4 linked regions of the Notamacropus eugenii genome follow. The protein of the gene in region 2 interacts with the protein of the main gene of each other region in a pairwise test. Links are inferred from orthologs where the notes say so. Each region holds a gene or a part of one and is shown on either strand. Other genes may lie near its edges.

Region 1 (7,805 bases), on a different chromosome or scaffold from region 2:
GTGTGAATGAGAGAGAGAGAGAGAGAGAGAGAGAGAGAGAGAGAGAGAGAGAGAGAGAGAGAGATTATTAATAAATTCTTTCTCATCCATTAGCCCTATGGGTATAGTAAGTCTAGCACTCCAGTGAGTTCCAAAGTGAATATTATTGACACGTAAAAAAACTGTTTAATCTTGGCAATCTGAAAGAAGCCATAGGGGTATCCGCCATCCCCCGCTCCCCCTGCCATCCCCGCCAGCTTCATTTATTTATTTTTGTGATTTTGTGTATTTGTATGTGTGTGTATATGTGTGTGTGTGGGGGGGGGGGGAAGCTTTAAAGCCTCGAGCGACGGTGTAGACTTGCCTGCCTCCCCACCCCCAAGCCCCTACCCCCCAGTACGCTGACATATCAAGAAAAGCAGTTCTCCGCTACCCAGGAAAGGAAGGAAGAAAAAGAGAGGGGGCAGGAACCTGACAGAAATGAAGGGGATCTGGGGCTTCTTAATGCTGAGCAATCGTTATGTGTGTACCAAGTGCTAGAGGGGGAGGGAGAAGGGAAAGAAGGGACAGTGACCCTCCTCCTCCCTGCCCGCCCTCCAGCTTCTTCAGAGAAGTTGGTCAGTAGAACACGTGACTAGCCTTGAACCAGACACACACACACACACACACACACACACACACTCAAGGACCGGGAGCGTGGACTCGCGTCCCCTGCCCCATTGACGTTAATCTACCATCCACGGACTCACGAACTCTCCCACGGGTGTTTCTCACCACCAGCCACCTAGCTTTCTTCCGTGTAACGCAATACGTGGGTCCTCCCCCTTCTGTCCCAGCAGACACAAACTTGTGCACACTCACAGTAGATCCCCAACCTCACGTCTTGGTCCCAACCTAGAGGGGGTGACTATTCCTATCAGTTGTGCAGGGATCTAACTTCAGCGACAGGCTGAGGACAGTGGTCTGGAAGGGAGCTGGCCAGATGAGAATGCTTGTTCCCCTTTGGCAGAGAGAGGGGAAAGAGGGTCTGCAAGCCCCCCGCTTCCTCTAAGACCCATCCTGTCCAGCGTGGGCCCAACTGCAGTCCAACATCTTACAGATGGAGGGATGTGTGTGGGAAAAGAAAGAAACCAGAGAAAATTTAATTGCTGTTCTAACTCTCGGCTCCCTTTCAAAGTCATTAAGTGGCGGAAGCTGAAGCGTTTCAGGCTCTAGTCCTAACTTTGGCTGTCATGGTGTGGCACAAAGTGTTTTGGTGAGAATGAAGGGATAGGATGAAGGGGTCGGGCAGCAGTGGCGGGTTTGGAGAGAGGAAAGGACAGCGAAAGCCGACCTAGAGAAGCAGCGCTAGAATTTAAGAGGCGGGGGAGGGAATGTCAGTAACCAGAAGGGACCCCGACTACGTGAGAGGACACCGAGAGGAGAGAGCTCGCTCTCCAGCTAGTCCCCTGATGCATTGACATGCAAGGAGCCTGCGGGGCGGAAGGGAAAAAAGAATGAGTCAGCTCTAAGTTCTAGGGGAAAAGAAGAGAAGAGTGGGGATAAGAGAAAGGAGGAGGAAAAGGAGGATGACGGTGAGGAGGATGAGGAGGAGAATGGGGAGGGGGAATCGACTCTCGTGGAGGGAGATAATGTTTTGACAGTCCCGAATAGAGGTACCGCGGAAGGGGAGGAGGGAGACAAAAATAACTTTGGACAGGTGTCTTCAAAGACGTATTCCCCGCCCGAGCACGCCACCTCTGGGACCTCCTAGGCCCTCCACTATCCCCAGAAGCTACAGTGGGGGGTATGGTTCTATTTTCACCCTCTTTTACTTGGAAAGCAGAGGGAGGGGGGAGCGCTCAAGGAAACCGAGTAACTGCTTGCTGCCTTCTCTACCCAACTCTAGCAAGCTTGTTCGCTGAGAGAACTAACTTCTCAAACAAAACTTCCTCCTCCCACCCTCTTCATGGCCCCCTCTTCTCCTCCTCGGCCTCTTCAGAGCCCCAGAAACAACGACGATTCTGGGATGAGAAGCAGCAAGAGACAAGGAGAGGGCAAGTCTCCCCGCAACCTGACCGGTGCCCCATGGTACCTATTTTCCCCCTCCCCCTCTCTCTAACTTCCCCCCTCCCCCCAGTCAAGTTCAATAAACATTTACACGCTCAAGAAAAATGCATCGCTCTTCCCTGAGATGGTCCAAGGGTTGGTTTGCTCGCGGCTACTCCTCCCATCCCCGTCTCCCTGGAGTGGATGTTGTCCCTTAATCTTCCCAAGCCGAGGTTGGCGACCAGTATGTGTGACTGTTGTTGCATTTTACTAAATACTAGAATATTGCTGAGATAAAATGCTTTTCCTCTTTTCCTTTCCCTGGCCATCCTATCCCACCCTTTTCCATGAGCGTAGAAAAAGAGAGAGAGAAAGAGAGAGAGAGAGAGAGAGAGAGAGAGAGAGAGAGAGAGAGAGAGAGAGAGAGAGAGAGAGAGAGAGATTTCAGTGCAAGTAACTAAAGTAGAAAATAAAATTTCTCCTAGGGAACATCCCTCTTCCCTAAGTCCCAAACAATCAAACAAAAGCCTCTCCTCGCCTACCCAAACAAAACTCGAGCCACAGAAACACCGTTTCAAAACTTTATCCAACAAGGCCACTCTCAGCTCTCCCTATGAACACGAACTCGGTGAAATACCCCGTTCTCAAGCTTTTCCTTCACTTTCCACTGAGCTTCTGGTCTCCACAGCTTCCCTCCCCCCCAAGCCATCCCATCTTCAAATGCGAACCCATCTCTCTAGAGCTTTTTGCCTCTCGACCTGCCCACTCCGCCTCCCCCCTTGAGTTCCTTTTCCTTACCTCGCATGGTGTTGCCGATCGCTCGCTCCGCGCAGTCATGAAGCTGCTACCAGCCCGCACCTCGGAAAGCACAAAAATCCCTTCTCAGCACGAGTGGAGGCTGCAGCCGAAGATCTGTTCTGCCGAGAAAACCATCCCTCCCAGGCTGTTATTGTTGCCAGTTGTTGGTGTTGGCTGCTGTGTGGCTACTGAGGCCTCTGCTGCCTTAACTGGTTTTGATGATAATGGTGATGATGATAATGATGGTGGTAGTGGTGTCTATTTGGTCAGGTGGGGTTTTGTGGTTGTTGTGTGTTTGTTGTTGTTGTTTTCTGGAAGGGTGAAAATATGTTGTCTGATTGGTGCCTGGGTTTGTTTTGTTTGGTTGTCTTTCTCTCCAGTGTATTTGCTTTAAAAAAAATGCCACCACCGGTTTAGAAGATTTCTTTTGTGATCACTTGGACTGAGGAGGAGGAGAAGGAGGAGGAGTTGATGGTGGTTTGGTTAGTTACAAAGAAGAGGGGAAAGGAGCAAAAAAAGGAGGGGGGGGCAGGAAAGAAAGGAAGGCTGTGTGGATGGCAGAACATGTGCGTTTTCACATGACATCTGCGCCTGTTAGCGGATCCACAATGTGAATTTTCACTGTTCAGTTACAGGGACGCTCAGGGAGGGAGGGAGAGAGGGAGAGACAGAAAGAGAAAGAGAGAGAGAGGAGGAGGAGGAGAGGAGATGGAGAGAGAAAGCTGCAAAGAGGCTTATAGCAGAGGGCGGGCTAGACCCGGAGTTCTAGGCTCCTCCTCCTGTCAGCGCCACCGCCTATCACCAGCCTGCTGCCCTCAGCCCGGCTGGGACCACTCCAGGGAGACTCAGGGAGAGAGAGGGAGAAAGACGGAATTACAGAGTCTGAGAAAGCCAGGCAGAGGAAAAGAGGAGAGAAATGGAGGGTCCAGCAGATCCGCAGGTGAAATTCCCTACTGACTCATCTGTTGAGAGCGGGTTGGGGCAAAGGGGGAAGGACGGATGACCAAGGACAGACATTTAAGCCCCCAATTTTCAGGTTTCTGTGGAGCTAAACAGAAAAAAAGAACCCACTTGGTCCAACCTGTCTCCACATCTTGTGCTGATTTCCCAGTCATAAAGCTTTCCTGTGCCTCATTTTTCATTTATGGCAAGCCTTCTCCTACTTCCTTTTCAATCAACTCTTCATCTGCATCTCTGACAGGGAATTTAAGTGACTATAATTATCAGTAGTAGTAGTAGTAGTAGTAGTAGTAGTAGTAGTAGTAGTAGTAGTAGTAGTAGTAGTAGTAGTAGTAGTAGCAGCAGCAGCAGCAGCAGTATTATACTAGTATCTAGTAGTAATAGTAGAGACTGTATATGAGAAGTCACTTTCCTTACAAGTAAAATACTTTTTCAAAGTAACTGTCAACCCATTCTGAAAAAATATTTCACATGCCACTCCTCCCCACTCCAGCATTTTTAATTCATCTCTTAGGTTTCCTTTGAGATGGCATTTTGTGTTTATTTTCCTCTTTGCCAAAAAAAAAAATGGATTTTTGAGGTATAGAAATATATGACCTATTGATTATGGGGTTCTAGGAAGTTGAAGAACAATATAAAAAGGAAGTGAGATTATCCTCATCATTAAAGGTTAAAGAAACTGAGTGAAGGAGATAGGATTGTGTTAATTGAACCTTACATTCATGAGGAGTGTTAGGAGAGGGTGGTAAACCGTCCATGTGCGTTCTTAGTTGAACACATTACTTTATCTGTTTCAAGGAAATGATTGATGTTTGGGTGCAAGTAAAGTACTTTGGAACTTCTTAGGTGAAAGTTGTAGTATAAATTCTCTTATTAATTTTTAATTCTAATAGTGTCAGTCTAGTACAAATAAAGAAAAGTTTTCCTGCGGATAAATATTATCAAGAATTAAAACTAAGAAATTCAAAGGCCTTCCCCCTGTACTGTTGACCAGTAATGTTATTAATAATGCTTTATCAAAAATGGGGAGATTAGAGCAAAAATGATTTAATTTGCTCTGTTCCATCTTGAGGCAAACTATTTTTGCCTCTTCCCTATAGTGGTAGGCATAGAAATTACCCAGGTTGTGCCTGTTACAAATTTGGTGGGTGAAGAATGATAAAAAATTAATTTATATTTCTATTTACATTATGTCTACATAGTACAAAGTGAAAGCTAGATCTGGCAATTATCTAGTTAATTAGATCAAAGTATATAGCTAGAGGAGATAGGTGAGTCTCTAAAGTGGTTTTCTTTGACTCATAACATTAACTGGATGAATTTCGGACTCCATACTTCCAACTGAGTCTTTGTTTGCCCAAATAAGTTTATTCTTTATTGTCAGGCTCTGTACTCTTTAAGACATTTTAAATATTAATCATGAAACATGATTGATTAAATTAAGGAAATAGATTGAACAAAAAGAAATTTTCCTTCCAGGATAGTCATTCACATATAAATACCTTTCCCCCAGATTTGTAAATGACAGTGGTTAATCTTTTAAGACAATATTTAAGGCTGCATGAGTTTATCATTTTAATCAAGTAAAATATATTCATCATAACTACATTAAACCTTCACTAAGTTATGCCTAATTTAGTGGGTTCATTAAAAATTACTGAATATAAAATAGTCAAGAAACAAGTTGTGTCTGTATCTTTTTTGAATCTCATATGCCTCAAGCAGATATAGCTGGAATGCCAGGAATTCCAAAGCCTCTGCGAGTCAGAGACATTTTTTGTTACATTTTTATTATTGTTGGTTTTTTTTTCACCACTGAGTAAATAAGTTTAAATCTAAATCTGTGTTCTTTCTAGACCTTCAGTTCTAAATAATGACAACAATTGACACGTTGTCCTTTACTCCTTACCCTGCCTATAATCACAAAGATATGATAGGTCAGGTATGCACAGGAAGCACATTATGTTTTGTTTTTTTAAAAATATACTTTAGGTGTGTTCAGTGGTGTGTTACTTTGCTCAGGAGCTAGATGTGCCGTATTTATTCTTTTGAGAATTGTGAAAACAAAAGCCAACACTTATCGAATATTAACCAAATAGAAATGATTTAATAATTAAAATCTTTCAGATGTATTATTTTGTTCTTTTGGAAACTTTATGTAACTATATATAATAAGATATACGATTTTAAAAATTGTTGTTTCTTTGGTTTTAAAGGGTAAAACAAAAATTGATCATGGGTTATAACGTGTAAGTTTGTGGTATTGTAAGTCATTCTGAAAATTTATGAGTTCCTTTGTTGAGTAGTTTCCAAAACTCACAAAGTTGTTTTGTGGTTGTTAATACTGTAAGAAATAAACAGAGAATTTAAAATTCAGTCTTTAATTAATACTTTCCAATAAGTCTTGAAAGATGTAAGAGGAATTTTGTAGCTAGCTTTTATTAAAATCCTCTTTAAAAAGTAATTAGATTTTCCTATATCCCAAATGTTTGTTATTTGTCTTTCATTTTCAAAGAGGACCAGTGACATCACGGGGTCATATACAACAACTATCACTGGCCTACCTTCTGTTACCTGAAAGGCAATGTCAGTGGCTTGTATTTTCAGATTTTAGTAAAAGACTTTGCCAACATAATTTTTTTTAGCATCATAAATATCCTTCTACCTTTGATCCTTGAGATCTACTTAATTTTATGTTTGGGTTAATAACATTTTGTATTATTCAACCAATGAGGATTTACTGAGTGCCCACTACATGCTTAGGACTATGTTCAGTCTCATGCAGTGGTATCATTTAGAATCTCAAGGCTTGCCTCTACTTTCCCCCTAAATATATATATTTATAGTATAGTAGCAGCAAATATCTGCTGGAGGCACTATTTAATAATGAGCTATTAGTGTACTGTGGCTGTTAAAAAACTCTTGAAAGTTTATGCTGCAAGAACAAAATCACAGTATTTAGATCCTAGAAGATCTAAATAATGTGATGATAAAGGGGACAATGGGTTAAGAGTCTGAATTTTGGGGGATCCAGTTTGACTCCTTATGCTTCAATATCTTCATCAATAAAAAGGGAATATCAATCTGAATTTAGTTTCTTAGAAGAATTGTCTTGAAACATGATACAGTGGGAAAAATACTGATTTGGGATTCAACAGATCTTGAAATTCCAGTTGTGATTTTTACAGTCTATAATACCTTGGTTAAATCATCTAACTTTTCTCAGCCTCTGTTTCCTCATTTATAAAAGGAGGGTGCTGGATTAATTGACCTCTGAGGTATTATTTAGATCTAGATTTATGATTCTATGCTATATAGACATGCAATTATTATTATTTTAAAAATACATCCTAATAAGCATAACTGTATTTTGTATGCTGGTGAAATTTTATCTAGATTACTTCATTCAGCTCAGTTCAGCAGTGTGGTTAGAGAGATGGAGTTCGAGTCAGATTTGAAAGAAATTCAGCCTCAGACATTTGCCTGTCTTGTGATCCTGAGTAAGTCCTTAACTTCTGTCTGCTTCAGTTTCCTCATCTGTAAAATGGTGAAAATAATAACTCCCAAGGGTTGCTGTGAGGATCGAATGAGATACTATTTGTAAACTGTTATGCAAACCTTATTAGATAAATTCTAATAGTTATATCATCATCCTCATTATCAACATTATTAGCTTTAGAGGACTGTAAACAACCATTCTATAATTTGTGTTCTTTCTGAGATTTACTGGAAAATTAGCCTGCATACCTTTCAGATGGGGCAACTAGGTAATGCAATGGATAGACTGGTGGGCCTAGAGTCAGAAAGACTCTTCTGAGTTTGAATCTGGCCTCAGATACATGCTAGCTAGGTGACCCTGGGTAAGTCACATAACCCTGTTTGCCTCAGTTTCCTCCTCTGTAAAATAAACTGAAGAAGGAAATAGCAATTTCCCTTGTATTTCTTTCAATTTTCAGTATTCTTTGCCAAGAAACATCAAATGGACATGATTGCAATGACTAAAAAAACATTTCAGATTCTGCTAGTTTGGTTTATCTCAG
Region 2 (8,066 bases):
ACGAGAGTTCAAGCCAGCCTCAGATCTGCCTTGTGTCCACCGTCCACTTCTACAATGGATGCAACTGCTGATGCCTCAGAGCTCCACCCTCTGATCTTGTCTTCAAGCTCCCAATCTGGCACTATTTCCCAGATTGGTTCACTTTATCTATTTCATCTCTGGCTTCTGTTTGAAGACTTCAAGTTACGGGTACTATATTCTGAGGCATTTCACTTCAAGGGACTCTTAATTGTTAGGAACTGTCTCCCTACACTGAAACTAAATTGGCTTCTGTCAACTACTGATTTTGTCTCCTAGGGTTATGCAGAATAATTGTAAGCACTCACAGGCATAAAAGCTCCTCAAATACTTGAAGACAGCTATCACAGAGTCTAAATCCTTCCCTTCTCCAGGCAAAATATGAATGAATAAGCAAGACAGCATTTAGTGGGCACTAATAATGTACTAGGAACTATGCTAAGCACTTGGGATACAAATACAAAAAGCCGAAGGGCCTCGTGCCCATAACGAAGTCACATTCTGAGAAGTCTGACAAGACAGAAGCCAGGGAGAAGTGTTATGGTCTAAGTCACAAGGATGGTATTGTTGATTTGATTGCTATTTCAAGAGCAAGAGGTTTCGGGGTATGTGAGAAGGATAAGCGTTAGCATAGAAAGAAGATGGCTAAACTCCCCTGTGAAGCCCACTGTCCTGTCCTATTTATTCCTATTTCCTTACCCCCTACCCTCCTGTACCAGTTTAATGCCATCACCACAAGTTTCAGTGTTTATATTCCTAGTTCTCCAGTGTTATCAGCCAGGTTCTAGCTTTAGTTTCCTTCCTTACACAGTCTTGACCACACGGTCAGCTATTTTAATAAAGCCCTCTTCTTCACCTTGATGCCTCTGACCTCCTACTGTCCCGTCCTAACTCTCAACTTTAGGTAACTCTTACTATTTTGCCTCCTCTGTTCCTATTTCCTAGATGCCAAACTTTGCTGCAAGTCTGCTCCAGTGTGTGCTATCTAAGCTCAGTTAGGCAGCCCTTTCACTCTCCTTCTAATTATTCTGTTGGCTGTTATTTCACATTCCCCACAAAGTGGGTTTCACACCGCTGTTCTCTTCTCTAGTCCCTAAAGTTGCCCCCCTCCAGCAGTCTGAGAAAATGACTGCCTCTTACACTGCAGGCTGATGCTTACATAATCTGTGCTCTCTTATCTATCCCTTTCTACTTACATGATCATCCCATAGTTCAAAGTTTCATCACTTTCCTACAGAACTTTTGCCTTCTAATTGGTCTCCCTGCCTAAAGTCTCTCTCCTCTTTAATCTGTTTTAGACTTAGCAACCAAAGTGCTATAACTAAAGCATAGCATGGTACAGTAAAAAGAGTAAGGCTTTAGAGTCAGTAATTCATAACCAGTCTGACATTTACTATCTGTATGGCAATTCATTTAGCCTCACCTGGTCTCAGTTTTCTCATCTATAAAATAAGAGGCTTAAGCTGGATAGATGGCCTCTAAGATCCCTTGCTAAATAAACTTCAATTGTTCCCTATTTCCTTCTAGGAAACAGAATTGTCTCCACAACTGCTTTACAAAATATTTTATAACTGATTATCCAAGAATAATAATTGATAAAGATACTGGATAGGGCATTCTCTTTGATAATCTCACCTACCATTTAATTTGCTGTCAATCTCCCTTTGGTCCCATGCAAGAATCTAGTTGCAATAAAATAATAACAATAATAAAAAGAATCTTGTTGGGGAGAAAAACAATTATGATTCTCAGAGAGCCCATCTTTTCTAGTCATAGGTTTGAAAGGAAAAGATGAATTTGAAGACACACTTGCTAAAATATATTGTTGGTGGAGATATTAACAGGTTAACCATTCTACGTGAGGTAATGTGGCATTACGCTCTTTAAAAAGTGACTACAATGTCCATCATTCTGACCCACAGAGCCTACCGATAGGCATACATCCCAAGGATGTCACAGACAGAAAGAAATGTCCCATATACATTACAGTGTTACATAGCAGCACTTTTTATGTTAGTGGAAAAACTATAAACAAAGATCAAAGGATGCAGAATGGTTAAACAAATTATGGCACATGAATTTAATGAAATATTAAGATGCCATAAAATGATGCATAAGAACAATTCAGAGAAGCATTAGAAGTCTCATATGAGCTGTTGCAGAATGAAGTAAGCAGAGCAAGTTAAACAAAATACAATATACCTGTAATAACAAAATACTTTTAAATTATATTAACCAACTTCAGCTATGAAAAAGAAATTTTAAAAATGCATCTGTTTCCCTACTTTGCAAACGAGGGACACTTGGAAGGATGAGTAACATCAAACAGGTCAGGCTCTGGATGGTGGTTAGTTTCATTAAAATACTCCCCCACCTCCACTCTTTTTATTCTTTGTTACCAAGAATGGTCTTTGGGTAGGAGAGGAACATGGAATATGTTCAGAAATGAAGATCATTTAAAAACAAAAGCTATCAAGAAAAATTAAAAAGCAAAAGAAAATGTGGATTTGGAAGTGATTTAAGTACACTTCACTCTTAAGTAACTTTTTCTTTTTGTGTTCAGGGCAAAGGAATGATAAAACTTAAAAAAAAAAAACAGCTTCATATTCTCTAGGGTCATTGCTAGTAAATATTTTTTAAAATCACTTTGTAAGCTTGTTTAATGCAAGAGTTCCCTCAAAATTCTATTTAAAATGAAAGGTTTCACAAGCACAGTTTGGTAAACCAATACTTAGGCAAGTGAGAAAAGACTGTAAATCTACTTGAAAATATATTTATGTTTTATTATCCATAAATGAAAGAAACTTTCTAAAAGCTTTTATGCTACAAAAAAAGTTTTAATGAGCCTAAGCACTAATATGGGCAAGACTCTGCGTACTCAAAATGAAACAGCTTTTCTTACCACATGCCTTTTACTTACATAAAATCAAAGAAAGTAGACTTCAGTGTTCATCACATAAAATAATAAACATTCTTTTTCTACTGATAGATAGCAAATTTAACAATACCTAGAAGCTGATGGCCAAATAAGTCATACAGTAACGTAATTACTCTCCTACTAAGGACTTAATAACCTATATAAATAAAATGCCATACCTTTTGATTTTCTCCCAGTATCTGAAAGAATGGATGCTGAAAACCATGTATCAATTAGAGTTACAGGCAACAGGTAAATACATCTGTGGGTCAATCTTTCCAATTCCAATAGTTCCTGAAAAAAAATTTAAGGAGGACTGGAGTTATTTTACAATGCTCATTACTTTAAAGGAACCCTTTAAAGCATTTAATAATTCTGAAAAATAACTGATATTTATATAGATCTTGAAAATTTGCAAGGCACTTTTTCACATTATTACAGTTTTACAGATCTGAAAGGTATACCTATCATCTGTCTGAACAGGGATTCAAACACATCTGTCTACACTGTAGTCTTACCCTTTGCATGACACCATTCTGTGACTTCAATAGAAGTCTTATAAGGGATTAGACCACCTCTTACAAAATAAGGAGGGAAAAAAGAAAGTACTTCATTCAAGGAGTGGAGTACTTTTATAGCTAGTCTAGTCTTTCCCAGATGATGACTTTTGACCATACCCAATGGAAACTGTTGTTTTAGATGAGTATAAAATGTTCTAAATCAAGTATCCATTCTTCAAAAATTGATACTTTTCTGTAGAAAGGGAGAAATCTGTGCAAGAAACAGCCAGGAAATTGTGAGGGTTTTTTAAGTGTAAAAGGGAAATCATCAGAATGACTTAATAATAAACTTAATTATAGAACACTCTTGCTGTCTTGTTTTGTATACATTTTCTCCACCTTGTGTTCTATAACCTGTTTTTCCCCCTACTTAAGACCATAAGCTTATACAATATGAAATCCCCAAACTGATATCCCCAAAGAGTAGCTCTTCAGTTTCTATTCTGTACTCCAATTTTATTTTACTACTGTCTTTATTTTGTTTAAAGGAGAAGAGTCCTTATAACAGAAAGCTAAACAAACTTCTGCATGTTCTGATAAGAGAATTCCCTCTTCCCTCCAAAGTATGTCAATAAAAAAGATGCATAAGGATTTACGATCCGCTCCTCTCCACTCCAACACACACAAAATACTCCTCGCCCCTAGTAGTTAACCTTGGGAGCTTCAGAAAAAGACAAGGTTTAAATACAATCACATACACTCATCATTTCACAGTTGCTACCCCACCTAGACTTGGCCAATACTAGAGTAATAAGGCACATCTAGCAGCACTGGCCACCCCCTTCCACACATCTAGGAAAAAAAGCTTTCAAAGAAGGAATACCCCATGATTTTGGACTAATTCTATATGTAATCTAAACTCTTAGGCCTGCCATGGTTCTATAGTAGGTAGCTCTTCAGTTCCTACTGTTTATTCCCATTTCATTTTATCAGTGTCCAACTTGTTCAAAACCAACATGTAAGGTGGCATATAATCTCTCTGAAATTCCTTGAGAAAATTAAAGCAGTGTTTTAGAACTCCATGGAAACACTACCCTAAGTTAAAGACAAATACATAAAACTGCCACAGAAGGGGAAATAATAGTACTGCTTAATAATTTTTATTTTAATTCCGTACATAGAAAATTGTGTCTAAGAATTAACTCTTATCCATGCCAATATTTTTCACGAAGGATAATCTTCCAGAAGGAGGGAAGAGCTCCCAACTAAGCAGGTGAGAGAGGATTCAGGTTTCTTCTTTCCTAGGTCCTGCGCCAAGTGGCTTAGCATTATAGCTCAACATCAGGAAAACTCATGCCAGAAACAAGTCTGCAACTCCTTACTGCCCTCTTGGCAACTAAGAATATCATCTGTCACTAAAGTCATAATTAAAGCCAGAATAGTCTTTATAAAATTTAGGAAGTGAATGGTGGGAGTGTGAAGAATGGGTAGGGAAGGGGTAGGTCGAGAAGGTTATTAGCCAGAGGGGTCAAACTCCAAGTCAGTAAGTGCTGCAGGTACCAGAAAAAATATAATTAGGAAATACTTTGCAAAATAAAAATATAAAACAACATAGATAAAGTTCATTCATGGTTTTCTAAGCCTGTAAAGTTCCGTTTCTATTTAAGTTTGACAACAATGGTGTTAGCTACGGGATAAACTGAGAAAATTTCTCCAATGAACAAAACTAAAATAAATAACTTGCGTTAAAAAAAAAAATTTGACTTATTTATTCTCACACTTTAGTTATTTTTGAATGAAATTTCTCCATTTCTTCAGCAGCTACATAAAAGTATTACCAGATCACTTTAGGCAGTAAATTTAACCTTATGTTCACTTTCCACAAACAGCATAACAAATCTTTCTAACAAACCGCTTTCCTGACTGTGCTAGAAGAAAAACAGTACTTTAATTAAATTACATTGAAATTTTTCCAGAGCAAAATTAGTGACTTCAAAGTCATGGAGTAAAGAAAAGTAAAAGATAAAGATGATACATACCTTTAATACTAGAAATTATCGTTATCCAGAGTGCAGGATACATTTCTAAAAGTTTCTGATTCAGTTATAAAAACTAAATAACAATCAAAGTAATTTGCTTAGAACAAGTTTACTATGAATAATCTATTGCACCAATGCAAAACACAGGCACTTGAAATGCTGAACAGATCTATTGTGGTTGTTGTTCAATCCTATCCCTCCCTCTTGACCCCATCTGCGATGTTCTTAGCAAAGATATTAAGTGGTTTGCCATTTCCTTCTCCAACTCATTTTACAAATGAGGAAAGCAAGGCAAATAAAATCAAGTGACTTGACCAAGGTCACACAGCTAGTGTCTAAGGAAGAATTTGAACCCTCTTTCTCCTGACAAGGGCTAGTGCTATATCCACTGCACCACCTAGCTTCCCTTGCATAATTAACGAAGAATGGAAAATTTATGTCAACTCATCTCTTGGCGGAGACGGTGCAAACTTTTTTCTTCTATGTAAATATGTATTAAACTGAAGAAATGGAGAAATTTCATTCAAAAATAACTAAAGACAATATAAAATACTTGAGAGTCTAACTGTCAAGACAAACCCAAGAATTATATGAACACAATTACAAAATATTCTTCACACAAATAAAATCAGATCCAAAAAACTAGAAAACTAATAATTGCTCATGGGCAGGCTGAGGTAATATAACTAAATTAATCTACTTAGTGCATACCAATCAAACCACCAAAAAAAATAAAACTTTTATAGAGCTAGAAAAAAAATAACATCTGGAACAAAAAAGTAAATGACATCAAGGGAATTAATGAAAACAAATGTGAGGAAAAGTGTCCTAGTCACACCAGATCTCAAACTGTATTATAAAGTTGTAAATATCAAAACAATCTAGTATTGGCTAAGAAAGAGTGGAAGATCAGTGGAAAAGATTAGGAGCACACTACACAGTAGTACTGACCAGTTATCTAGTATTTGATTCTGACTGACCACAGTAATGACCACAGTAATCTAGTATTTGATAAACCCAAAGATCTAAGCTTTGGGAACAAAAACTTATGATGTGAGAAAAACTGTTGGGAAAACAGTATAACAGAAACTAGATATAGACCAATATATCACAAACTGTATGTCAAAATAAGATTAAAATGAGTACATCATTTACACATAAAGGGCAATATACCATAAGCAAATTAGGAGAACATGAAGAATTTACCTGAGATATATGGGTAAGGAAAAAATTTAGGGCCAAATAAGCTATTGAGAACATTACAAAGTGTAAAAGAGATCATTCTGATTATATAAAATTAGAAAGTTTTTGCACAAACAAAACAAATGCAAGCAAAATTAAAAAGGAGAAAACTGGGGGAAATTTTTGTAGTAAATAGGTCTAATAAAAGCCTCATTTTTCAAATACATAGTGAACAGAGTCAAATTTGTAAGAATACAAATCACTTCTCAATTGATAAATGAATAAACAGGCAGTTTTTAGACAGAAATCAAAGCCATCTACAGACATCAGAAATGTTCTAAATTATTACTAAGAAAATGCAAATTAAAACAGTTCTGAGATATAACCTCACATTTATCAGACTGGCTAATGACAGAAAAGGAAAAAGACTAATGGTGGAGGGGATGTGGGAAACTGAGACACTAATGCTCCATTGGTGGAGTTGTGAACCATTCTGGAGAACTACTACATAGGTTCCCAAAAAATATAGGCCCAAAGTACATATAAAACCATGTATACCCTCTGACTCAGCAATACCACTACTAGGTCTGTATTCCAAAGAGATTTTTAAAAAAAGGACCTATATATACAAAATATTTATAACAGCTCTCTGTGGTGGCAAAGAAGTGGAAGTTGAGGGGATACTCATCAACTGGGGAATAGCTAAACAAGTTGTGGTATATGATTGTGATGAAATACAATTGTGCTATAAGAAATGACAAACAGGATATTCTCAAAAAACCTAGAAAGACTTACATAAACTGATTTAAAGTGAAATGAGCAGAACCAGGAGACCACTGTACACAGTAAGCAATATTATATGATAAAGTAACTGTGAATGACTTGGCTCTTCTCAGAAACACAATGATCTAAAACAATCCCATTAGATTCATGAAGAAAAATGCTGACTCCAGAAAAAGAAGTGATGCTGTCTGAATACAAACTGAAATATAGTGTTTTTCATTTTCTTTTCTTTCTTTCTTTGGTTTGAGTCTTCTTGCACAAGGTGACTAATGTGGAAATGTGCTACATGATTGGATACTATATCAAACTGTGTAGTGTCTCAGGGAGGGAGAAGGGAGGAAAGCAGGGATAGAATTTGGAACTCAAAACTTTTTTTTAAAGTGATAAAATTGTTTTTACATATAATGGGGGGGGGGGAATAAAACTTTAAAAATGTTATTCCCAGAGAACATAAAGTTACAAGTATCCATTTTTGATGCAGGTTGCTAAATAAGTCACTAGAGGTTGCTGTCTTACATTTCTGAAAGTACACATACAACAAAGCATCTTGCCTAGAATTTAAGAAATTTAAGTCATAATTAAATTCCAAAGAAATTAAGCTATAAATGTATTTAAACAAAACTGAGT
Region 3 (7,488 bases), on a different chromosome or scaffold from region 2:
AAGAGAAACACGCAAAGGAAGAACAAGATAAATTAGAAAATAAATTGTTGTTGTTGTTGTGTTTGTCCTTCATTTTGGAAGACCATGACATCAGAGAAATGATGATATGACTTGCACTTGACTTTGTTTAGGGAGGGCTGAGAAAATAAATATCACCCAGGCAAGGTACCTACTGTGCTATGCCAGGAGGGACACCAGTGCTTCTTGAAGTTGTAAAAACTGAGATGGAGGCAGGAGAGATTGCTGAATGAGATTTAGAGCTGAAGCTTCCGTCAAGCTTTGGAAATCCTGAGGTGTTTTAACAGGCAGATGTCCTGCCAGCTCACAGAGTGCTACATTGAAAGCCTCCCCCTCCTTAACCCCAAAGCTGGACTTCCGGGCCCACAGAATGACCCGGACACCAGCGTAGGCCAATGAGGATGGTGGGTTTCCAGGTGGGGCTCCCCGGGTCACAAATAAGTTATGTGCAATCTCCTGGTCAACGAGGTAGTTGGTGACCTGGCAGACCTTGTCTACCAGTGCCTGCAATTTTGGTCCTGGCTCATCCACATAAAATAGAAAACCAGGGGCTGGGAGTCCTTCTAGTAGGTGAATATGACCATTGGGATCTAGTGGCTGGCTTGGAGCTGTCTCTACTGGCAGTTTATGGGCTAGGTAGTAACCATGCAAATGTAAGTGGTTAACAGAAGCCAAACCACCTAGACTGTTGAAGCCCACCCGGAAGCCAGGGTGGGTGCTAAGCATGACAGCCTCCACCCCAAATTGTAATGGGTCTGGCATGAGCATCTGTGGTAGCCCTTGGGTTGGCTGTGGCACAAACAGCACATGTCCCCATTCCAAGGGACTGACATTGATAATTACCAGGACCTCAGTGCACTGGAGAGCCATCGGAAAGCCTGGATCTCGGCGCAGGCGGAAGAGGATTTCTCCTGGATGGATCTTATTGAAATTGAACTGCTGAGGGTCAAATGCCTGCCTCACACTCTGGATGTTCTGAGGGCATCTTCTCTGTATGCCCCGATCCACGTTCAGCTGAGCCACAAAACCCAGAGGGCCAGGAAGGATTTGGGTTTGCAGTTCCCCAAGGCAGTAACGAAACAATCCTTGTTCCATCCGTTGTTTCCAAGATGATTGGAGGGTACAATCAAAACGAGACAGCAAAGGGGGACACTGGATGCCAGATTCACTAGTCTGCCATTGTATCCCTTCCACTATCAGTTCCTCGAAGCAGTACACAAAATCCAACACTCCCAGCCCAACTGGGGGTCTTGACGGTTCATCACAGCTATTGCTCTGAAGCGGCAAATTTGAAGTTTCATTTATATTCTGTGGTACAGCCATACGAAAAGGGCACAGATTTCAAGTTCTACCAGGTATGGGTTCCTCCAGGTGACCTGGAACACAAGAGCAATAGAGTATGGTGTCACATTTCGAAGGGCTTTAAAAAAATCTTGGCTGCTGGGTTTTGTTTTTTTTAGGTAACCTTTAAAAGTAACTTTTTATAGTAGAGCACAGACCCTGGAGTAAGGAGGGCCTGACACACCTGAGTGTGTCAACTTGACACACTCACTAGCTGTGTGACCTTGGGCAAGTCACTTAACCCCAATAGCCTTGCCTTCCCCACCTCCAAAAAAAATATCAAACAAACCAAACAAAAAGTAACTTTTACAGTTTTGGAAAAAATACTGTTGTAAATCTATTTCTGTAAAAACAGGTTTCTCCGCTGCTGGGGTCTGTACATATTAATCTTCCCCATGATATGTAATAATATTATAGTTTCTCAATATGTATGCAAGGCCAAAGGAAAATTGATAACCTAATAAAGATTACAAATCCTGTCCCATAACATTTTCCATCTGCCATTGTACCAACTCCTTGAAATTCTCACTTTTAGTTCCATATCCCTCTAATGAGTCCAGAAACAAAGGGAGGCAAAAGTACCTCAAGTTAAAATTTACATTTATGTTGCCTGATAGCAGACCCCCAGTCATCTTCTCTCAGTAGTACAAAACAGGTGACACTTTGGAAAGGGAGTATTCTTCCTAAGCGAGTTAGCCATGAGGCTTGAGGCTCAGGAAGGCAGTGGAGAGGACAGGCCCACAGTTGGGTGTCAGATAATTGGGTTATTAATTGATTAAGCATCTGTTGACCCACTCCTATATGAAGCACAAGATATACGATGAGGAATTAGAGATGTTCCTCACCCTTCAAAGAGTGTAGTTTTACAGTAGGAGATGTAAGACAGGTACAGAAATGACCATTCACATATTAGCATTTACTCGGTAGATGATGCATTATATAGTTTTTAAAGAACACATACATTTAAATACTTGCTCCATCTTCATATAAACTCGCCATGAGGCAGAGATAGGGCAGGTGCCCCGGCGTTACCGAAGGATCTGGAGGTTCAGCGATTGCACAGTCTAAGTCATAGTAAGTGATGGAACCAGAGGGCAAGCCAGCAGAGGAGAGAGCCGCGGGCCCTGGGGGTAGAAGGCTTTGCTGCTCATTTCCCACCCTCCCCTTTTCCGGCTCCAAATAAGGTGCTCCTCCCACTGACGTGGGCGAGACCTAATAAGTTTCATTAGAGACAACAGGAAAAAAAGGGGGGAGGGCGAAATTGACGAGGAGGAGGAGGAGCATCAAAGGGAAGCTTCCTGCATCCACCCTCCCCTGGCTCCCAGCACAGAGGTCTCCAAACAATCGCTGTCCACATGCTCCTCCCTACCCCTTCTGCGCTCCTCCAGGCAGCGAGTGCACCGTCTGTCTGTCCTCGCTCCCCGACTCTCCTCACCTCGGCTCTTCCCAGCAGGCTATGCTAGGTGGGTGCAGGTGCCTTGTCCAAGGTCTGGGAAGAGGAAACTGGCAGCCCCACTTCCTGAACGCTTCGGGGGTCACGGATGCGCATGCGCCTCATTTAAGGGGCAGGATCATCGACTATGAGGTAGAGATCACCCCCCGCCCTCTCGAGGAGCAAATGGGCGGGGCCTGCTAATTAGGCCCCGCCCCCTCCAGTCTCAAGAGGAGAAGACCCTGGCATCCCGACCTACTCCCGCTCTCTGGAGCTCAGTCAGATTTTAGGATCCCAGGATTCAGGACTGAAAGGGGACTTTGCGAGATCATCTTGTCCCTTAGCCTCGTTTTATAGAGTTTCGATCCTCCTGAAATGAGGTACCGTTTTAGGGGAGATCCTGGCTCGAACCCTCATTTCTGGCAAACGCTCTCTTATTAGACCGTAGAAGACACACACTTCCAATACGGACATACCAACAACGTGACAGCCAGACATGAAGCTACATAAGTCCAAATTAGGGGATCAGATAGTGAAATATTCTCCGCACTCATCTCTGCAATCTCCTGCTCTTCCAGGGAATTAATTTAATTCCCCAGCATAGCCCCAGAAGAACAGTCACTTCATAATCTCCAGGGGTCTCTCCTCGGCCTCCTTGAAGAAAGTTGTGCTGATTCTGGAATCTCAAGGTCAGCCAGCCAGTCAACAACTATTCATTAAGGGCCTGCTATGTGCCAGGAACGGTGCTAAACACGGAGACGAAAGAAAGAAAAAGACAGTCCCTGCCCTCTCCACGAGCTCACAGTCTATTAGGAGACAAAAAGCAAACACGTTTACAAACAGGCTACACACAGGATAAAACAGGGTGGTGAATTGGGAAGGACGGCACTGGAATGAAGAGAGGCTAGGACAGGCTTCCGGTAGAAGAGAGGTTTTTTTGTTGGGATCTAAAGGAAACCAGAGGGGTGAGCAGCGGCCGGAGCAGAGGAAGGAGAGCGTTCCAGGCATGGGTTACAGTCAGAGAAAGCTCCCCGGAGCCCAGAGAGATGCCAGAGACCAGCGTCATGGAATGGAAGCGTACGCGTCGGGGATTATAGAGTGAGAAGATGGGTAAGGCAGGACGGCCATTGGTTAGAAATAGCTTGGAACGCCAAGCGGAGCATTTTGTGTTTGCTCCTGGAAGTGATCGGAAGCCACTGGAATTTATTGAGTAGGGGGGCGACAAGGTTGGACCTTCGACTTAGGAAGTAAACCAAGAGTACTTCACTCCAAGCGGTTTCCGAAAGTCGGGGGTGGGGGGTGAGGGTGGCGGAGGTCGGGGGGAAGTATCTAATTGGCTTCTCCTTCAAACCCTGGGGCTCACTAGAGAGACTGTAGTAGTTTAAAAAGCTCCCGCTTTATGGTGCAATCTCCACCAAAGTCCTTCGCTTTGGATCACGTAACGCACAGCATTCTGGGAGATGTAGTCCAGAGACCTTTCAATGGACTTTCGTCCTTATGAATTGTGGGAAATGAAGTCCTGTGTTCAGGCCCAGTACAACCTGGCGAGGAAACTGAGCCCCAGAGACCCGTTCGTCCAAACCCCGCATTTTTTCCACGATACTCGGCTGCCTCTCTTTCTGCGAGGGGTGGGAATAACAAGCTGTCTTCTCCTAAGGCGCAGCAGCAACAGGTCCCAGGATCCCGGCTCACACTCTCTTAACGCCTGCCCCCGTCTGGCCCCTTCCCTTCCCCGCTCCCGCCGACTAGACCGATCACGCCTGATTTTGGAATCCTCTCCCTGGATTTCCCTCCGGGAATGGAGAACTGGCGTTCGGGCCCTTTAAGAAAGAGAGAGGCGGAGCCTACGGGCAAAAGCGGAAGGGGCGTCGGAGTTGCCCCGGTTGCCGCGGGGACTGGGCGGGCGGCGGGGCGGGTGACGCGAGAGGCGGAAGTGAGTGGGAAAGTTGTTGCTGTCCGGGTCGGAGTTGGAGCGGCTGGTCTAGACCCGGCGGGTGTAGCAAGGCCATGGGCAGCTCGGCCAGTCAGCTCTCCAAGGAGCTGCTGACAGAGTACCAGGTGCGCTGGGGGCGGCGGATGTGCCTGGGCCTACCCGGGCTGGGCGGGCGGCTTGGGCCCCGGAACCACGGGCAGGGCTAAGAGGGCCGCGACCCTTGGCCGTGCACGGCCGGTCTCCCCCGCACACCCGCACGGCCTAGCCCCGCCCTCAGGGACGGGAGACCCGAGGAGGCCTCGAGTGCAAGGCTCCCCGGACTGGTGGGGGGCGGGGCAAAGGTCTGGGGTGCCGACTGTGCCCATCGCCTCTCGCTCTTTCTTCCAGGAATTAACGTTCCTGACGAAGCAGGAGATTCTCCTGTAAGTACCCCTCCAGCCTCCGCCTACTCAGGAGGCCGCTGCACTGGGCCACAAGACTTGGGTTTTCTCTCCTGGCTTTGCCACTGAGTGACTGTGTGACCTTAGGCAAGTCACTCCCCTCCCCTGAGTCCCAGCCTGCCCCGCGAACAACTGAGGGGTTGGACTAGACCGCCCGACGTCACGATGAGTATTAGGACTGAAAGAAAAGTGGAGACTGAGTCCCAGAGCGCTGCCGGGCCTGGCCGAGGGCACCGGTGACTCTGAGGGCAGGACTCCAAAGTTCACGCTTCTCCCCTGCCCTGCCCCGCCCCGGTGCATTGTGGGCTGTAAAGCAGGTCCTTGGAGCGGGGCCAGGCCATGGAGCAGTCCAGCCTTTAGGAGCGGGTCTTGCTCTGAGACCTGGCTTTCAGTTTTGTGCCCTCGCTGGCCAACGGGTGGTGCTGTTGCCCGTAGCCTGCTCGGCCACGGCCACCAAGTAGGAAGTTTCTATATTCAGCCACGCGCCCAACTTTGAGTTTTTGAACCACCTGTAACATTTTGCTTGCTCTACGTACTTGGAGATCAAAGCAGTTGCACAAAGCTTTTTCTGAATACAAATCAATAATGGAATTCCTGAACCCTTCTTGGCAGGGGCAGAAACACTAAGAGGGGTGGGTAGCCCCTCGTTGGAGAATGGCTACATTGACTAAGCCTCTGGGAAAACCTCTGAGCAGAATCCAGGCTAAGTCTGAGGACACTAGGCAGAGACTGTGGGATTCTTGGTGCAGTCCATGGGACCATGAGCTTTTTGGCCTTGTTATTCCCAGTGTTAGCACGGTGCCTGGCACATCGCAGGGACCAGTAAATGCTTGTTGACTGACTGACTGGTTCCTACCACCCTCCATCCATCCAAATCCTTTTCAACTTTCAAGGGCCAGCTCAAGTTCTACCTGTTTCCATGAAGCCTTCTTTGATGATGCCAGCTCACAGTAATCTCTTTCATCCTTTGAAATCTTATCACTTGTCTGTACCAGTGCTTTGTGACATCTCTCCTGTATTGTTCATAAGCTTCTTGTGTGTTTTTTGATCCTGCCTTTTCCATAACTAAACAGTAGGCTAGCTCCCCACGCAGCTGTGAATTTAATAGAAACTGTAAATCTTATTTGGTTGGTGGACTGAATGAATATTTGTGAGCTGATAGAATGAATTCTGGTTTTCTTTACCAGGGCCCACAAGAGGTTTAGTAACCTGCTTCCTCCGGAGTCTCAGAATGTGGAAGATTCTCTGAGAGTCCGAGTATCCACTGAACAGATCTTAACACTTCCGGAGCTCAAGGTGGTACCCTTCCCACAATGCTTAGTTCAGTAGTTAATTTCAGCCCCCTGTTTTGGGATCTGTGGGACATTTCTCAATCTAGTAACCCCTTCTTCTTCCAGTAATTCTAGTGATGAGCAGTCCTCTGTAGTTCCCAGTACAGGCCTTTGGACATAGCACATGTGTCATCAAAGTTTAGTGGTTGGTTCCCTATCAGAAACTTAATGCCCTTCTGCTTACAAGAGCCTCTCTTGCTCTAGGCCAACCCCTTCAAGGAACGTATTTGCCGTGTGTTCTCCACAGCACCAGAAAAAGACAGCTTGAGCTTTGAAGACTTCTTGGACCTCTTCAGTGTCTTCAGCGATGCAGCTACCCCTGAAATCAAATCCCACTATGCCTTCCGCATCTTTGGTAAGGACTGAAGGTACCAGGGTATCTGTACTGAGTGGAGTGGGAGCATCATGGTCTTTTCAGCAGGGATAATTTTTTGTCTTGGTCTTTCCTAACTAGATTTTGATGATGATGGGACTTTGAACAAAGAGGATCTGAAGCAGCTCGTGAACTGCCTCACTGGGGAGGGGCAGGACACTCAACTCAGCACCTCGGAGATGAAGCAGCTCATTGAGAACGTGAGCTTGGATAGGATAAGGAGGGAAGGGGATAAGAAAGGGGAAGACATTGGGGCTTTTGATTGAACTTCTCTCTTTTCCCTGGGCAGATCTTAGAAGAATCTGACATTGATAGGGATGGTACCATCAACCTGTCAGAGTTCCAACATGTTATCTCCCGTTCACCTGACTTCACCAGGTATCACCAGGGCCACCTGGCAATTTAGCTACCCATAGTACCTTGCTAGAAGGAGGGCAGGAATAAGAAAAGTGGAGAAGTGTTTTCGGGGTAAGGTTAACTCAAGTCAACCCCATTGTCCTCTGGGATTGAGCCAATTTCAGACAGGTTTTAGGGAACATATTTACCAACCTCTGTCTGAGTTTACTTGATCTAGGTCTCATTTCCTATTCTCTGCCCACCATGCCTGTTTTACAGTGGAT
Region 4 (7,920 bases), about 82 Mb from region 2:
GGGCTTATGCAGTAGTCTTTTAACTGGTTTCACTCTACAATCCTCCCTGTTTTCTGCTGTCTAGATTAAGCTTCCTAATTATAATTTATCTTACGTGACTCCCCAATACTGCCTCAGCAGCGCACAATAACTTCTCATTGCCTAAAAGATAAAGTTTAACCTCATTTTGACATCCAAGGATTAATATAGGTCTTTTATTTCAAGTTTTAACATTCCTTTCAAGCATCATCTCTAACTATTCTCATGCATTCATTCCAGAAAGAGGTATCAAATACCTGCTGAGGGGGGCTTCCATCCATATGGCTGCATCAGAGGTTTTCAGTTAGCCTCATTAGCTCAAAACAGACATTTGACAGATAAATTGAAGGAACAATAGAATATAAGAGAAAGTAAGGAATTTCTTATAATAACAACAGCAAAAAGACTTAAAAATGAGCAAGCAAATAAAAGTCCCCTGAAATAGTAAGAGAACAGTAAGAACTATCCAGAAGAAGAGAATATGTCCTATGATGAAAATCTCCAAGGAAGAATTGATGACTTTGAAGAGAAGTTATAAAACATAAGCAAGGCAATGGGTACTTGGTAAAAAAAGAATGGAAGAAAGAAAAAAGTTCAGTGATATTACTGCAGAGCCAAAAGACAGCAAACTTGGGAGGTCTTTGTAACAAAATATAATTTGCCTGAAATACAGGGCTTGGAGAGTCCACCTAAGAATTACTGAACTTCCAGAAAAACATTATTGAACAAAAAGTATGAGGATCATGCTTACTTCAGGAAATCAGAAAAATTGCCTAGAAATATAAGAATTAGAGGGTAAAGTAATCAATAGTATGCATAATCAATCAATAAACATTTACTAGGCACCTACTATGAACTTAGCACTGTGCTAAGTGCTAGGGATACAAAATGAAACAAAAGACAGTCTCTGCCCTCAGAAGAAGCTTACAAATGGGGAGACAAGATACAAATTTTACAGATAGATAGATAGATAGATAGATAGATAGATAGATAGATAGATAGATAGATGGATAGATGGATAGATAGATAAAGCAAGTTATATGCAGGATAAATAGAAAATAAAAGAGAGAAGGCACATGAATGAAGAGGGGTTGGGGAAGGGTTCCAGTAAAAAAAAAAAAATAGGATTTTAGTTGGGACTTGAAACCTAGGGAGGTCAGTAGTTGGAATGTAAATATTCCAAGCGTAGGGGACACCCAGAGAAAAATGTCCAGAGCCAAGAGATGGAGTGCCTTGTTTGTTAGACAGCCAAGAGGCTATTGTCACTGGATTGAAGAGTACATATCAGGGAGTAATGTATAATACTGGAAAGGTAGGAGAGGGGTTGGTTATGAAGGGCTTTGAATGCTAAACAGAACACTTTGTATTTGATCCTAGAGGCAATAGGTAGCAACTGGTGTTTATCAAGAAGAGTTTGGTGGCTGAGTAGAAAAAGGATTAAAGTAAGGCAAGAGTCTAGACAAGTAGACCCCCCCCCCCCCCCCAGTACGCTTTTACAGTAATCCAGATGCTGAGGTGATTCATGCCTACACTGGAGTGGTGACAACATCATAAGAGAAAAGAAAATATATTTAAGAGATGGTTCAAAGGTGAAATTGACATCCTTTTAAACAGATGGAATGTAGGGTAGGGAGGGGGGAGTAAGAGATAATGAAGAATCCAGGATGAGTCATAGGTTGTGAGACTCAGAGACTGGGAGGATGGCATTGCCCTCTATAGTAATAGGGAAGGTGGGAGGGAGAGAATTTGGGGAAGAGATAATGAGTTCTGTTTTGGATATAGTGTATTTATTGGACATTTAGTGGACATAAGGTATTTATTAAACATCCAGTTTAAGATGTCTGAAAGGCAGTTGGAGATGTGAGATTCTAGAAGTCAGCACAGAGTTTGATGTAAGATAGATAGATTTGAGAATTATCAGGATAGAGTTGGTAATTAAATCCATGAAAGCTACTGAGATCACAAAGTAAAGTACAGGTATCCCTTCCACATCACAATTTTCCCCACTGAGGTTTTGATATATCATGAATCAGCATAAGAAATTAAATGGGAATTTTGGGAGAATTTTACAGAAGCTGAAGATGACACATGGAGGCCAGCAGATGACACAGAAAAAAATCAGAAACTCAGAAAAAGTTTAGAAACTCAGAAATGCATAAAATATAGTCTATGACCAAAGACTTAACCAAACTTTACAATAAGGTACTGTAAATACCCCATAATAGAAAAAAATCAGACTTCTCTGGTATGAAGAGAGGGCAAAAAAAATTACACAGATTTTCCAGATTGTAGAGGTGCCATGCCCCTAGCACCCATGATGTAGAAGGGATAACTGTAGCATAGAGGGAGAAGAAAAGAAGGCCCAAGAAAGAAGCCTAGAAGACACCTATAGTTAGAAGGCATGATTTAGAAGAGAATCTAACAAAGGAGACAGATAAGGAGCAGTCAGATAGGTAAGATGAGAACCAGGAAATATCGGTGTCCTACAAACTTAGAGAGGAGAGAAAATCAGGTAGAAGAGAGTGATAAACAGTGTCAGTGGCTGCAGAGAGGTCAAGGAGAATGAGGATTAAGAAAAGACCATTTGGATTTGGCAGCTGATAGATCATTAGTAACTTTGGAGAGAGCAGTTTTGGTGGAATGATGTTTGGAAGCCCAACTATAAGGGGTTAAGAAAAGAGTGAGAGGAGAGTAAATGGAGGCCGCATCAGATGGCCCTTTTCAGGGAGTTTAGCTACAAAGGGCAAAAAAGATATAGAATGAGTGGAAACAGAAGGATCATTTGAAGTTTTTTTTTTTTAGGATGAGGGAGACATGGGCATTTTTGTAGGCAGTAGGGAGGGAATAGTAGTCAGTAGACAGGGAGAGGTTGAAAATAAGTGAAAGTAGGGATGATAGATGGGGCAATCTGTTGGATAAGATGAGATGGAATGGGATTGCTTGAACAAGTTCTGGGGTTAGCTTTAGTAAATAGTAAGGTAACTTCGTAATGTGAAATAGGGTTGAAGGAAAAGATAGTGACAGAAAGCATCTGAGTGACAGGAAATGATGAGACTGGAGAGCCACCAATAAAGAACCACCCCAGGTTTAAGTCACACAAAAATGTGATTGCCAAGCTTCAGAGATTACAGATCAAAAAGGAAATATTACAAGTGGACAAAAATAGGTAGATCACATACCAAGGAATGTCATGTAGAATCATGCAGGAATACTTTTCCTCAACAAAGAAGAAAGGGGGAAAAACTGGAATGCAATTTATCAAAAAGCAAAGCAAGGATATCCTTGTATCCAAGGACAATATCCTACAAAGTTGAGAATAATCCAAACATGGAGGAAATAGAACTTTTAGAAGAATTGATGACCTCTAAGCATTCCTTTTGAGAAATCTAGAGTTGAACAGTCTTGGAAATGGAAATGATTCCACAAAAGAAACTTAAGAAAGTTAAAAGAATCTACATAGCTGTGAAGAGCTAGGTGATACTGCAGTGCTTACAAACTGAAAGCAGGAAACAAGATTATTTTCCCTTGGAAGTCCCACTTAGCCTTTGAGAATCCTAGGTTATTTCTACCACTAAGAGAAGGCAGACATCAGAATAAACCTTAGTGAGCAGTTTGCTCTTATGGCATTGTGACACATTCTGCTGGACTGCAAAACTTGAACCAAAATACCATCTCTGTGCCTACTACTTCTCAAAAGTTTAAAGATAAAAAAAATCTGATTCTAGTCACATGACTAAACACATAGTGGACAACTAATTCAGGACTAAATAAACAACAATTCACACTTCTCTAGTACTTTGTAGTTTACAAAATACTTTCAAATACATCATCTCATTTGAGTATCACAATTGTGTAAGGTCAGTAAGAAATCCATATGGTACCTTTGTGAGCCACTGACAGCTTTAAAGTATCAATCAGTGAACAAGCGCTTACTAAGTGTCTCCTATGTGCTAAGAATTGTCCTTGTCCTCAGAGACCTTACAGTCTACTAGATGGATACAATAAACTGACAGGTAAATACAGAATATGTACATTTATCCCTGCTCGGAATTTGGCCTGTCAGGGTAAGAAGGTGGAGATAGTTTCCACCTGTATTCCACTGGCCTTGAAAGTAATTGACAGCAACACTTTATTTTTGTTTCTATTTTATTTCTTTGGGGCAGGTAAGTGAGACAGTAGATATAGTGCTGGCCCTGGAGTCAGCAAGACTCATCTTCATGAGTTCAAATCCTACCTTAGACACTTTCTACTTGTGTGGCACTGGATAAGTCACTTAAACCTGTTTCCCTCAGTTTCCTCATGTGTAAAAAGAGCTAGAGAAGGAAGTGGCAAACTACTCCACTATCTTTGTCAAGAAAAGCCTAAACAGGGTCATCAAGAGTCAGACACAACTAAAAAACAACAAAATTTTATTTCTTTAACTTTAGACACCAAATAAAATGAGCATTTCCATGTACATAGTAGAAGAGAAAAAAAGATTTTACATGAAAGTGTACATCTCTATTATGTACAGTTTGCTTTTTTTAAGTATATAATTAATTCAACATAACTTTCAAGGCTATCCTGCTTCTCTGGTATTCCTTCTCGACTTCCTTCAGTTCTGTTAATTTTTTTTTTTAATGCTTCAATACTGTTCTTTTTCTTTCATTTTTTTTGGTGGGGAGGGAACTCTATCCCTATCACCCACTTCTTCTCACCCTACCTCACTGAAACAAGAAAAACAAAATCCTCATAACAAATATTCATAGTCAAATAAAATATGCATAATCAACCAAAACAAATTCCTACATTGACCATCATTTCTCCCATTGGTCTTCTGGAATTGTGCTTGGTCCTTAAATTGATTAGAGTAGGCTTTTCTTATTTCACTGAATCAATTATTTTCTTGGTTCATCTCAACTCACTCTGCATCAGTATTAGCATTGTTTATCATCAAGCTAGAACTTTTCCCAAAGGAAGTACAAAGAAAATGATACAATGATACGTCCCATTTTTGTAAATAGCATCTTAGGCTACTCTTTCATTGTAAAACAATACTCTCCATGGGCAGTGACTTGACAGTTTTTTCTTAGATACCACTTGAGCAACAAATAGAATAAAATAAAGGAAAATAAACTGACAATGTAATTAATTACATAATTAGTCTGAATTTTAGAAAGACAACATTGTGTAGTGAAAAGAACTTTGAATTTAGAATAAAAGGGTCTAGATGTGAATCCTATTTTTGACTGGCCTAAGTTGCTGAGCCTCAGTTTCCTTATATTCAAAATAGAGATAATAAGGCTCACACACTCTGCCTTCCCCATAGAATGGTTGTGAGGTAAGTGTTTTGTAAAACTTGAGGTACTACACAAATGTAAGTTTTTTTTTCCCCTAAAACCCATGATTGTCTTATCCAAACTTTGCCTCTCTTGTGGCACTTAGCATGATTTTCTATACACAATAGGCTATTAAATACTACAGTCTTTGCTGAGCTCAAAGTGAGAAGCTCCTATCTACATCACAATCAGTACAAACTAGCCTCTTCAGCAATGCCTCCTTTTGGTTATTTCTGTGCATATGACTCATGGTTCTGACCCTATCCACTGAAAATGTTTTCTGCTTGGATCCAGCTGTTACAATTTTCTCAGCCCTCTCTGATCATAGTCTAGCAAAGTAGTTTGACGAGTGGAACATATTATGAAACATTTCAAAAGTTAATGTAAACTCTCTCAGTCAACATTTTTACAGTAACCATAACTAATAATCCCCAAGGCAAGATTTAATCTTTTTTCTCGATGACTGCTCGTGACCTATGGGAAAATAAACCTGAAGGATTAAAGAGAGTTTTAATGAGATATTATAATACACAGAACAAAAGGAAGTTCAGAAGGGGACACTGACAAATAGGGCATTTTTGTTACTACCATGTTAAATTTAACATATTTTTAAAAAATTGTATGTAACACGTTCAATTTTATGCAATCCTCTTTTCTTCTTTGCATGTTGAAGTGTTTGTGTTTAGTAAGTTCATAATGTAGCCCATAGAAACTCTGGGGATCCTTGATCCAACTCCCATTTTTACAGATGGACCTCAGGTCTTGTAAAAACATTACATATCCACCCCACCCCCCACCTCAGAGTTTGAGGAAAATCCAGGAGGTAATTCTCTAATGACATCAGCTCAAACCCCCACCAGCATGCTTCTTTCACCCCTGAGGTTATCAGTTGAGAATCATTTTAGTCAACCAGCCTTACGTAACTTTTACATATTTACTAAATTGGCATAATTAGCAAAGTTTGTAGAAAACATCTCCATAAAAGTCTGTGGACACAAGTATATAGAGACCAGGGAAAAGTCAACTCAAGTTTAGGGAACAAATGTTGCAAAGGGGTAGATCAGAGCTCTGGGTTTGATTTCTAAGCTATTTGTGGTTCTATAAGTCTATGCTCAATTTGTCTTTGGCTCCCAATGCAGACCCTGCCATCAGCTGATCTGGGGATACCACCAGAACACCAATAGGAAGATGAGAAGTCCAACATTCTCCGGACCCTTCAAAATCCATAAGGTCCTCCTCTGACCAAGGTTTAACTTCAGGTTTCTACTTCCAGTGCCCATGGTTCTTCCTAAAAGGGTTTTGTTTTTTTTTTAAATGTTGTAACCCCTCAAATTCCTCTAGTTTTAAGCAAGCTTGATAATTTATAGATGATTCCTGGAATGTGATCAAAAGTTTCTGTGCAATGTCACTCTAATTCAAAGGAATTTTTTCATTTATTGTAAAGCTGGGATTATTAACTTGTGTGTGTGTGTGTGTGTGTGTGTGTGTGTGTGTATGTGTGTGTTATAGACTCCTTTCGAAGTCTGACAGAACCTATGGACTCCTTAACATAATGTTTTAAAATAAAGAAATTTCATTTAGAAGTTAGTGGTGCAACTTTTCTTCCCATTCAGTTTCACAAACTTAACTGAAATCTAGCCATGGACCAATAGGTCTAAAGCCTACAATTGAGAGTGATTGGTTGTTTCTTTTTTTTTTCACTTTAAGAGGGGTAGCATGACTTGAATAAATCAGTCAGCCTCACCCTGACAGTAATAAAAAAAGGAAAATAAATAATATAGTAAATCTGGGAAGTTTAGTGGTTTATAATAAACCTCCTTTTACATACACAAAATGAATGGGAATTATCTCAGACATTGGCTACATTCTCTAGGGAAGCTAGCAGCTGCCAACTAGGTTGTGCTGGGCCAGATAATTTCTGCAATTCTGGGCCATGACTTTACCAATGAAGTTGCAGGATAGGATCTCAGCAACTCTACTTCTCCCTGGCTACTCCCATTCTGAACTGTCTTTTTGTTGTCATCAATAAAGCACAGGAGGATAAGGGGAAAGTGCTCAAAGCCCACTAGGCTGAGAACAGAGGCAGCAGCTGGTGGTTGCCAGATGGCAATGAAATAATTAAAAATGCTGTGGTACAGGACAAAGAAGCAAAGAACCTGAGACCCATTTTCTCTGCCTTAACCCAGATTTGAGCACACTGTTATAATCAAAGTCTTTCATGTGGAAGAGGGATCAGAACTAGAACCAGTAGCTAGAAGCTATAAAAAGACATTAAAAAAAAAAAAAGGTTTTATTGATGCCTGTTTTTATATTACATTAAAAACTTGATATGTTTCCATTCCTTTTCCTCCTTGTGGCCAAGAAAACCTGTTGGGGGGTGGGGAGGTCATATCTCACATTGAATACAACATTCTGTACCTGTAGTCCTTCACTTCTCTTTGGAGAAGAGAGAAAAATATGTTATCATCTCTAGGGTAGCAGATTTTGACTCCATATAAAAAACTCTCCAACACATTGCTGTGCAACAATGGAAGGAGCAGCTTCATGAGGTAATGAGTTCCCTATTACATCTTGGTTTAAAGCC

The links.
Region 1: the proteins of NRIP1 (region 2) and RORB interact in a two-hybrid assay, tested with the Homo sapiens proteins (2 studies listed by BioGRID). The link is inferred for Notamacropus eugenii from reciprocal best matches to the Homo sapiens genes NRIP1 and RORB.
Region 3: the proteins of NRIP1 (region 2) and CIB1 interact in a two-hybrid assay, tested with the Homo sapiens proteins (2 studies listed by BioGRID and IntAct). The link is inferred for Notamacropus eugenii from reciprocal best matches to the Homo sapiens genes NRIP1 and CIB1.
Region 4: the proteins of NRIP1 (region 2) and CEP70 interact in binary tests that used the Homo sapiens proteins (3 or more experiments, as listed by UniProt). The link is inferred for Notamacropus eugenii from reciprocal best matches to the Homo sapiens genes NRIP1 and CEP70.

Annotation. Positions count from the first base shown.
Region 1 is NC_092874.1:374,204,064-374,211,868, reverse strand, and holds the start of RORB (nuclear receptor ROR-beta), read right to left. Parts: upstream 3,523-7,805; 5' UTR 2,813-3,522; coding exon 2,806-2,812; intron 1-2,805. UniProt on the Homo sapiens protein: Nuclear receptor that binds DNA as a monomer to ROR response elements (RORE) containing a single core motif half-site 5'-AGGTCA-3' preceded by a short A-T-rich sequence.
Region 2 is NC_092876.1:410,459,328-410,467,393, forward strand, and holds the start of NRIP1 (nuclear receptor-interacting protein 1), read right to left. Parts: upstream 3,230-8,066; 5' UTR 3,115-3,229; intron 1-3,114. UniProt on the Homo sapiens protein: Modulates transcriptional activation by steroid receptors such as NR3C1, NR3C2 and ESR1. Also modulates transcriptional repression by nuclear hormone receptors.
Region 3 is NC_092872.1:169,846,507-169,853,994, reverse strand, and holds the start of CIB1 (calcium and integrin-binding protein 1), read left to right. Parts: upstream 1-4,293; 5' UTR 4,294-4,798; coding exon 4,799-4,849; intron 4,850-5,111; coding exon 5,112-5,146; intron 5,147-6,351; coding exon 6,352-6,460; intron 6,461-6,699; coding exon 6,700-6,850; intron 6,851-6,949; coding exon 6,950-7,068; intron 7,069-7,157; coding exon 7,158-7,246; intron 7,247-7,488. Other genes in the region: GDPGP1 (GDP-D-glucose phosphorylase 1), read right to left, coding at 178-1,341. UniProt on the Homo sapiens protein: Calcium-binding protein that plays a role in the regulation of numerous cellular processes, such as cell differentiation, cell division, cell proliferation, cell migration, thrombosis, angiogenesis, cardiac hypertrophy and apoptosis.
Region 4 is NC_092876.1:328,657,433-328,665,352, reverse strand, and holds the start of CEP70 (centrosomal protein of 70 kDa), read right to left. Parts: upstream 3,216-7,920; 5' UTR 3,198-3,215; intron 1-3,197.